Linked DNA regions of Drosophila melanogaster. The protein of the gene in region 2 interacts with the protein of the main gene of each other region in a pairwise test. Each region holds a gene or a part of one and is shown on either strand. Other genes may lie near its edges. The genes, in order: DNAlig3 and tou.

Region 1 (5,607 bases), on a different chromosome or scaffold from region 2:
AGCTGTCGTATAATCGATAAGATTAAACTAATAGAACCAACCAAACATTTCCCCAATTATCTTGGCAGTTACACATTGCTTTATATAAAAGACTTTACAAAATATAATAGAGTATTTCTGAATTTCTATAATTGTTCATTGTTTGTTATTCAAAACGTAGTCGAACGCAGCAGCACCCACTAAATGTGTGTATGGATAGATCACTGATTGCCTGACCTTGACATACGATTTTATATAGGCTTGTACGCAATGCTGGAGGCCAGTAGATACACACTTCTTCCAATCGAGTTTCAAGTGCAAGTGCAAGTAACCCGGATGCTTATTAGGTAATTAACTTATTAAATCCGGATCAATAAATTTAACTAACTTGCCACTTCCGCCTTTGGTGTAGAGATCACAGACTATGTCCAGCATGGCTCTCTTCCGTAGGAACATGCCGGCCATGTTGCCCAAGTAGAGCACTGGCTTTTCATAGGCGATGCCCCTATCCTTGAAGAAATCATTGTTGGCGGACGCCCAGCGGTAGAACAAGGCGGTAGCGATCGCAAATAGGGCCAAGAACTCCCACAGCATGTTGAACGAGCGCCTAGTCTGACGATCCAAGCGTCCAAAATATAACTAACAAACAATCGGAAGCATTTCGTTGTCGCAACGCAGAGCTTTCTATCAAAGCTTCTTGCTCTGCTTTTAGCATTTGATAAAATACTTGTTGTCAATAATACACACATATGTATGTGTGTTCGGTTTAATCAAGCATGTACAAATTTCTGAGTGCAAACGATTTAGAATACCACTCATCATTTCATCATCACGGCGTGTAGGGGAAAAGGTTGACGACTCTGAGTATCGAGACAGCTTTGGAGCCAGCTTACATTCAAGTGCCGGCAGCTACGACGATAGAGCGTTCTAAAAAAAAGGAAGCCAGTGAATTAAGTTTACTTTTAGATTAAGTGATCATCTAGACATTACCTAAGCTTCTCTAGGTCCAATGCCTCGTTCGTATTCGCATAAAAGACCAGATCAGCTTTTTGTGGTTCTGTTGTACAGCATCCTCCATGCTGTGAAAACTGCTGCATCAGTTTACTTGAATCCTTCTCCATGGCAAAGTGTGCCACCAATCCTTCGAACAACTGGGGTTTCGAGCTAGTGGATTCAATATTGCCTTCATCCTCCTTTGGTTCCTTTTTCACAACTGATTTAAACTCCTTGCTGGGCTTAAAAAAATCCTTTAATCCCTTTTGCGAAGGGGACAAGCTTCGAATCGCTTTGGACTCCTTGCGTTTGCTGAGCACAGGAGCTCCGTCTTCGTCATCAGAACCAGTATTGGACCTTTTCAATTTCTTACTACCATTTGATTGATTGCCATTCAGTTTTTTCTCCTTTTCAGGAGTTGTTTTGTTATTCATTGCTGTCTCATCTTTACTACAATTGGCCAGAAGTAAATCAACATTTACATTCGATTTTGAGGCCTCGAAAAGATCTTCTAGATGGGCCAGATCATTGGCCTCTTTGGCTGATTTATCACTGCGACGACGAGTAATCCTGGGAAATCGTACTGAGATTCCAGACGCGGTATGGGCATCGGACTTGGTGAACTCTGCGCCAGTAATCTCCCATACTGGCATTTTCATCGGATCCTTGGCCAGTACATCTGGTACAAGGGACTTACTGCATAACAGCCAACTGGGAATTGCGTTGGCATCAGCACGTTCGGTTAGTTTGATTAGTGATTTATGTACCTCTGCGTTGGTAGCATCATCCAAGCCAGAGTGCACTTTGGTCACTGTCTTCCACAAACGCCCAAACGCATCGTAGCAGCCCATGAGAAAAATACTAAGCGTGCCACCTTTCTTCCCTGATCCGTACCAAGCACCCAAAACAACCAAGTCCGCGGTGTCAGCCATCTTTCCGTCGAATAGGTAATCCTTCTTGACCTTAAGCCAGTTCCTTTTGCCGGGCTGATATGTGCTGGTTGGACTCTTTAGGACCACACCCTCCAGATTGGCATGTAACACCCTGGCCGTCATCGCGGCCAGTTCCCTCGTGGTCTTGAGGAACTCCGACTCCGACAGCTGCACGTGGGATTTAATGGGTTGAATATTCTGCTCAAGAATCTCGCGACGCTTGCGAAATGGCCTGAAAAATCCAGATAATATATTAGGAACTATTTCATTTTTAAATATTATCTTACAAATTATATTCTTCCCAACCTTACCCCACTTACAGCTGGGTCAAATCCTCGCCATCATACAGTATGCAATCGAAGACGAATAAGCATACAGCAGCATTGGCGAAAGTCTGCTTCTTATGGGCACCCAACGAACCAAAGGGCAGCAGTGCTCCTGTGTCAGTGTCGACCAGAATGATCTCAGAGTCCAGTATCATTTCGCCACCGCCAGGAAAGGCTTGCGGAATATATTTTTTCAGAGCCCGTATCTTGTGATCCACCACAGGCTTTAGATTGCGACTAAAGAACTTGAAGTCGTTGCCCTGCTTGTGGATTTGAACTCGCTCTCCATCGTATTTGATCTCGCTATATAGTCCAGTGGGGCTCTTCTTGAAGGCGTCCTCCACCGACTTGCAGGGACTGGCCAACATGGGCGATATGGGTGTCATTACCTGAATTGCACTCGAGCTCGTTTTCTTAGTCTTCTTAACGGGACTACTAGCATAATTTTTATTTTCTTTGGTGGCAAACTGTTCGACAATTGCCACCAAATCGCGGGAAGACTGATATGCGGGGTAGGCATCAGGACCAAAAGCATCCAGGATGTGCCGGGCTCGGGCATTGATTCTTAAGTCGTGCTTCACCAAGCGAATAAAGGTGCGCAGATCCAGGTCAGTGGCCTTCGAGCACAACTTCTGTAGCAGATCTGTTTGCTCATCCTCTTTGGTACGCTCCACCAGGTGCAGGAGCATTTCCTCCACCTCCTGCAGATAGAGTTTGCTCTGCTTTTGCGGCTTGAGTTTCTTAGAAGCAGCAAAGTGCTTGCGTAGAGTTTCCGAAACGTCGCCATCTACGGGAAACGAGAAGTTAGACCAGACTCAACAAGAGTTTGTGTCGGAAGTTTCTTGAAAAATGACAACTTGCCCTGCTCTAGATCCAGATGCATTTGCTGTTGATCTGCATTAAAAATGCGCGAAAAGAGTTTGATCAGCGCCTTGTTCTGCAGATTGTAGACGCGCTGATTGGCCGCCGGAATGAGGAACTGCACCCAGAGCACGGTGTCGCCCTTGAAGCCCTTGCCACTGCTCCCCTTTTCGAAGAATCGCTGCAGTCTCTCCGCTTTCTTCAGGTAACTTGACTCGCCGGCAATTTCATCACAGATGCGACGGAAAGTGTCCAACTTGTTGTCCTCATTGTGCAATCCCTTGCTGGCCATCTTATTACACAGAAGACGAGTTAGAATCCTGGCCTGCCACGTTAGCCTGGACAATAGCATACGCACACTAATTGCAAATTAAAAATGTGGTTGTCTATTTCACAGAACAATGCAAACAGACTTTCGACTCACGAGTAAATAAATCGGGAATATTTGACTCAAATCAGCTGTTGCTCGCCAAACACGCGCTCGGCGGCGTTGTAATTGGCGGCTCGAGAGTCTTGCAATGCCGTTACGAATTTGAAGCTCAGGCGCCAGAACGGGTGCAGATTCGATTCCACGACTTCAACGTGCCTACGGAGCACGAGAATTCCACGGGTTGCCAGCCGGGCGATGCGCTGCACGTGGTCACCGAGCTGCGTGGACGGTACGAGACGCAGGAACTGCTCTGCGGCGCCTTCCTGCCCAAGCCACTGATGTCCAGTGGACAGCAGCTACACCTTCAGTTTGTCGGAAAATATCCGCCCACAATGACGAACAAGGTGCAATACTACGGATTTCGCGCGGAGTACCGTTTCTTAACCAGTAAGTGTTTCCACTGAGTCTTAATCAAATAAAGACTGATATTTATTTAAAAATTGGCTTATTTTCAAGATTTTGGTATCATGTCGGGGATTCAAAAGGAAGGATGTTCCTTTGTCTACAATAGCAGCGAGCGAATAAGTGGCCTATTTCACTCTCCGAATTTTCCCGGATATTACCTGGAAAATGTTGTGTGCAATTATTATTTCTACGGAGCAAGTGACGAAAGAGTTGTGCTTCACTTCACATATTTCGATATCGAGGGCATTGGAAGGTAAGATCTTTATCTAAACTATCACCTAAAAATGTTTAATCCCCTTTTCTGTGCAGTTGTGACCACCAAACCGCCAGCGATTACATCGAGTTTTCCAATTTCATGAGCACGGATCGAAAGTTCAGCAGATACTGCGGAAAGCTTCCCGATTTTGAAATGCGTTCTGATGGACGTTTCTTTCGAGTCACCTTGCATTCCAATGATCGCTTTGTGGCCATCGGATTCCGCGCCCTGTACACCTTTGAAACCGTTTCAGTGAATAATTCCATCACCGATCTTCGGGATAATGCCTCCATGCAGAGTTTCGTCTCAACAGCGTCAACTCAGCCGGTTGCAAATGTAAACAAATTAATTGCATGTATCTTATGCACTTATAAAGCATACCAATCTTATGTTTAAAATATAGAGACAAAATATTTCGAAATTTTGTTTTCTAATTCTTTAATAAATTTTAATAATTTTTTTCTATTTTAATGGCACACAACTTCATTAAATTTAAATATTTAATCTTGGCCAAATTATCGTTTTAAAAGCAATCGATTTCATGTTGGCTATCGAAGTTTATGCGTAGTAGTTCAAGAACTAACAATTTAAGTTGAGGGATTTTAAGTATTAGGATGTAAATTAAACGTGATATCATCGATAAAAACTCCGCCAAGCATTTTCATTTTCAATAGTTTCTGGTAAAAATTATTTATTTAATTTCAACTTCATTATCAGAGTTACCGTGTAAACGAGCCACTCGTTGTTATCTGCAATCGATCTTTACCTGTTCGATTCAGTTTTGTAGAGTCACGACATAAGTATATGCTATCTTTTTATCATTTTTGGTATAAATTAAAAACAAAGAAACAAATTACCATTAATTGTTTAAATTTAATAATGTCAACTTCTTTAAAACATAACATTCAACAAAACATATTATTATTTTGATCGTTTATAAGATTAGTTCCTTTGAACAAGTTTAATCCAAAAGCCGCCTTTGGGTGACAACTGAAAACCGGAAGTAATGAGCTCTAGTGGAATGCAGGATTTCTTGGCAGGGGCAAAGCGGTAGTCCTTCAAAAGATAGTAGATAACAGCCTTTGCTTCAAGTAGAGCGAATCGGGAACCTATAATAAATACATTTTACATTTTTTCGAAGAACAATTTTGAATCAATCAACTTACCAATGCAGTTGCGTTGACCCAGGCCAAAGGGGAAGTATGTGAATGGCTGAATAGACTCCTTGTTCTCATCGCTAAAACGTTCCGGATCGAACTTCATAGGGTTCTCAAAGTACTTGGGATCACGATGGAAGCCGCATGTAGGCAGCCAGATGACATCGCCCTTCTTGACCTCGACTTTCTGGCCATCCACATCGAAGGTGATATCCTTGTTGCATTCTCGATCGACGGCAATTGCCGCCGGCCACTTTCGCAGAACCTC
Region 2 (4,853 bases):
ACTACGAGATGCAGCGCAGCTGTGCACGCAAGGTGAATCCCTGGACACCTTGGGCATGTTCATTGCCCTCACCGGATTGCAGCACGCGGGGGTAAATTTCTTGTCCATTTGATACTTGTGTAATGGTACTTAAAAACAAAAATTTTTTTCAGCAAGCCATGAATACGGGCGTGCGAAAGTCCAGAAATCCACTCTTCAATCCTGGTCACATTTTTGGTAAATTCCTGGACAACAACAGCATCGACAATCCCAAGACCAAGATGCAGCTTTCGGAGCACGTGCATCCCTCCCTTGAGGCGGCTGCCCAGTGCATTGAACTGTCGGTGGCGCGTCTCCAAATGGCCGTGGAGCTGATGTTCACCAAGCACGGCAACGCGGTGGTGGAGCGTCAAAGTGAAATGCAGCGCCTGGCGGAGGTGGGCACCCTTATCTATGCCATGTGGGCCAGCGTGGCGAGGGCATCCCGATCGTATTGCATTGGACTGCCGCTGGCGGATCATGAACTGCTCACGGCCACAGCGATATGCTCGGAGGGCAGGGATCGCGTCCGCACCCTCTGCACGGAGATCTATGGCGGTCATTTTGTGAACAACGACAACAACCTGGTGCGACTCTCCAAGCAAGTGGCCAAGAGCAAGGGCTACTTCGCTGTTCATCCGCTGACATTTAACTTCTAAGCCAAGCTGGTAGTTAAGTTTATTATTGCCTTTACGATTAAAGTGAATACTTGTTATTGATAATTCGCATGTGTTTAATCTCGTCTTGAGGGTTCCAAAAGGTAAAACACATTTGTGGATTATTTTCCGGGACACAATTTGACAACTAGTTTTTATATTTTATATTTCTAATAATTCACGCAAATATTAGCCAAAAAAAAAACTAAATAGACTGATTGACGCAATTGTTCAACATATTTTTAAGTAGAACAATTTTCTTAAAATCCCCCTAAGCCATCACAAATAATCCAGCATTCTGGGAAATCAGCGTGAAATGTCTTAATCCGTTGAGTTTACCACCTGTCCGCCTTTTCCGCTGCACTGGGAATTGGATTTGCATTTCGTTTAAGTGGTTGAACTGGGCGAATTGATAAAGAATTGACAATTTGCTAAGCGGCGCAGGAAGACGGCCAAAAGCGGTGTGAGTGTGTGAGTATGCGGTCTCTTCGTTCATGAACGTGTGTTAGCGTGTGTGTGTGTGGACAGGTGGTAAAATAGCCTGTACTGTACTTTCAACGTAAAGCAGCTAGCTTACTTAGAGTACTCAGTCAATATCGGGTCAATCAAAATGTGGTTAAAGGTTTTGTCTAAACAAGCGCAGAATTCCTAATAATTTGGATGACTATTAAATGATTAATAGATAGAACCGTGTGCAAGTGTGCGTGTTTGTTTGTTTGTGCCCACAACTACACAGCAAGATTTGGTTTCATGTCCACTTGTTTCGCCGCCACGCTCTCGCCACTGTTAGTTAACATAGCTCTGCCAGCGACTAACATGCACTCACACTCGTGCAGCGGCAGCACTGCAGGCAGCGAAAATCGAAGAGAGTAGATTCATAAAAGAGTATCGGTTTCTCTATCGAAGCGTTCGGACGTCGAAAAGATAAACCCCAATTTAAATCTAATCCATCTGCGAGCAAATTAAACAACAATAATGATAGATTCTTAAGCGGCGCGCACATACGTGTCTTATTAATCGATTTTGATGTTTAAAAAATAATATAGAAAGTTGAAGTGAACTTGCAAACCTCGCGAATAGCTGGAAATTTGCGCGTGTGCGGGTGGAACAGTGACACTCGTGTGAAAATCATCGCTAAGGAAAAGGCGGATAATATAAAGGAAAAACGCCCGCGGCGAAAATTATTCCATTGGTGTGAGTGTGCAAAAAAAAGGAAGAAATATCAAGAGCAAAGAAGTTCGAGAAATTGCTAAAAATTAAGTGTGTTTGTGCTTGTGTGAGTGGGTGACAAATGAATGGGCAGCAAAAAGACGAGAAGTCAATCAGCGATAAGCAGTTTAAACAAACAAAAAAGGTGAGCTAAAATTTAAAGCTAAATCAAACTCATTTATATGTAATACAAAGTGTATAAATATAAAGTTCACTGATGAAAAATTAAATGATTTCACCCTTAAAATATTCCCGTTGAGTTCAATACAACACCCCCGCCCCCTTTTATCAGCCCTCCCCACTCCCCTTCCCAATTTCAACCGCAAACAAATAAAATAGGCAGAAAACCGAAGCGGATAAAAAAGAGGAAGAAGCGAAAGAAGTAGCGTCGCCGATTTCAGTCCTTCATTCCATTTCATTTCGTTCCACATGCTTTTGCTGCCCCTGTGATGTTGTAGTTGTTGTTGGTGGTGCCTTTGTTGTTCTTGCTCTTGTTCTTGTTCTTGCTGTATTTCGGCGGTGACAGTGAGCGTGAGCAATGAAGGCGGCGAACGGCGAACTCTGGAAATTGCCACAAGCAGTGGCACACGACGCGGCCAACAAACACACACACACGCATGCGAGCATACTCTGCTGGCCAGAGCAAATACAACATACAGTGGGACTTTGTTTGGGCGGACAGCATGGATAGTTGAAATTAATATATTCCTTTTCAGTGACAACTTAAACAAGAATCTACGTAAAATACTTACTTTTTGCACCAAATAATTACCATTTTTAGCAGTTTGTAAGAAAATGAAATGTTTATAATTCCACTAATCTTTTGAGTTTGCAGTGATAACCGTGTAAATTGAACTATTACAATCTTTTTTTTATTTATTAAAACTATTTTTTTATTTATTAAAAAAAACACAATTTCTATTGATTCGATTACTGATAAGTACTCTATAGCGATTTATGTATATTTAAGCAATTAGTGCTAGAGATCAAGATGAATACATTTATTTTAAATGAAAGATTCAGGTTAAAGAACTCTTGATGACAAAAAAAAATAAATATTTTAATTTACGAGCTTTTAAATTTCACATACTAATCATATAGCCATAAACTAAAACCGGGGAATTTTGAGTAGCCAATCTTTACTGTACTCGCACGAATACAGTGACAAATGCAGGGGGCAGCGAAACACGACAGCGACGGCGGCAGAGGCAAAGACACCTCGAGGAGTCAACTCACCTCTCGAAACCGATTCCTCTGCTTCAATTTTTTCTTTTATTTTCCTTTTTGCGCTCATATTGTAGTTTAATTTTTATTTTATTTTTTTTTAGCCCGCCCTGTCCGCATGTGTTATGCGTGTGTGTGTGTGTTGGGTTCACACAAATACAATTCATCAGCGGCAGAGAAGTCGGCGTCGCTTGTTGTTTTTGTTGCTGGTGCTGCTATTATTTGTTGTTGCTGGTTCTGCGCGCTTTTATTTGAGATTTGCGCACGAATGGCTTTTGCTTTTGCTCTTGGAGTTGTATATAAATTGTAAAGCGTGTGGGGAAGGGGCAGCTGCAGAAGGTGGAGGATGAGGGGCTTTCAGGCTAGTTTCGTTCTAGAGTTCGCGAGCACACAAACACGCACACACAGTCACGTACATACGCTCGACAGAAATACGGGTACACAACATAGAGAAAAAATAAGGAGAAAAAAACAAGACTGCAAGTGGATTGGGCTTTGAATTTTGTTTTGTACACTTTTCCCTCGGCCCTGCTCCTTCGTCCTTCCTTCTTTTGAGTGAATTTTTCACCTCCTTCCCTACCCAAATACTGCTATTCCTTAGCTTTCTTGGCATATTTCGCAATTTCCCCTTCGCATGTTAATTGCCGGCGTTGAACTTTTAGTTGTTAATCAATTTGGTTTGGCTGCTATTTTGCCTCTTTTCACTTCTTTGCGTTGTTTGTTTTACAAACACACATGCCGCTGGTTTTTTGTCTTTTGTTTCAAATATAGCATTTGATTCGGGAAAAACTACAATTATTTCTATAATGACAAGCTTAGGATTTTAAGAAATACAGTTCACTTACTAAATTGGAAATACATATATGCCGGTTTAACTCAAAATAAATGCAACTTATCGCGAGCATAGTTTATATAAAATATATTAGTAATTAAGAGAACATACATACATACATGTACATATATGTAAGAACTGTTTAAAGTTTATGTTAGATTGATCTATTTATGCTAAAAGATTATTAATAGCCAAAGTTAACATTAAAGTCATGAATGCAATTGTTTTGTTTGCTTGCAAATCAATTAACTTAGCTAATCAAAACATTAACTGCGTCTATTCAGGACTTCTTCATTTGTTTGATTGCAATTTCCTCTTTGCATTTCCGATTCCCTTTTTGGCCAAAAAATTAAAAGAGGTGCCAGCCGCCAGATGTCGCCACTGTTGGCTGATTCCGGCTGCTGCTGCCGCTGCTTCTTCTACTTCGCTCTGCTTTTACTCTGCCCGCAAATCGATTTCGATTTGGTTCCGTCTCTTTCGCACACACCCTCGACTTCTGGCTGTGTGTGTGTGTGAGCAATAAGCTTAACATAAATCATTATAACGGCACATACAGGAGGGACCTTACATGTCACCCCAACCCCCAGTCCCCCCTTGCGCCCACAACCGCCCATTTTTCTGTATGTCTGTGTTTGTATATTTGTTCGTTTCGGCTGTCATTTCATATGGAATTCTATATGGGAACGCACAAAATCGATTTCTAATCGTGTAAATAAATGGCGACAAATGCTGCGACCTCTCACACTCGTCAACATGCTCGAGCTCTGCCTTCTCTCCTTTCGCATAGCAACGAAAAGCAGGAAAGAGGGAGGAGAGGCAGAAGGTTTGCATGGGCAATTGTTTCAAAACTAAAAGTTGCACACTGAGAAAAATGCTAACTACGTAACTGCGTTTAGTTATCGTGGCCAAATGGG

The links.
Region 1: the proteins of tou (region 2) and DNAlig3 interact in a two-hybrid assay, tested with the Drosophila melanogaster proteins (one large-scale study listed by BioGRID).

What each region holds. Positions count from the first base shown.
Region 1 is NT_033777.3:12,398,303-12,403,909, forward strand, and holds DNAlig3 (DNA ligase 3), read right to left. Parts: upstream 3,489-5,607; 5' UTR 3,444-3,488; coding exon 3,092-3,443; intron 3,018-3,091; coding exon 2,225-3,017; intron 2,137-2,224; coding exon 970-2,136; intron 907-969; coding exon 798-906; 3' UTR 709-797; downstream 1-708. Other genes in the region: Sol1, read left to right, coding at 3,489-3,908, 3,978-4,179, 4,236-4,578; Cyp9f3 (cytochrome P450 9f3), read right to left, coding at 368-573; Cyp9f2 (cytochrome P450 9f2), read right to left, coding at 5,125-5,291, 5,349-5,607.
Region 2 is NT_033778.4:11,612,754-11,617,606, reverse strand, and holds the start of tou (toutatis), read left to right. Parts: upstream 1-1,561; 5' UTR 1,562-2,028; intron 2,029-4,853. Other genes in the region: Egm (enigma), read left to right, coding at 1-91, 153-677.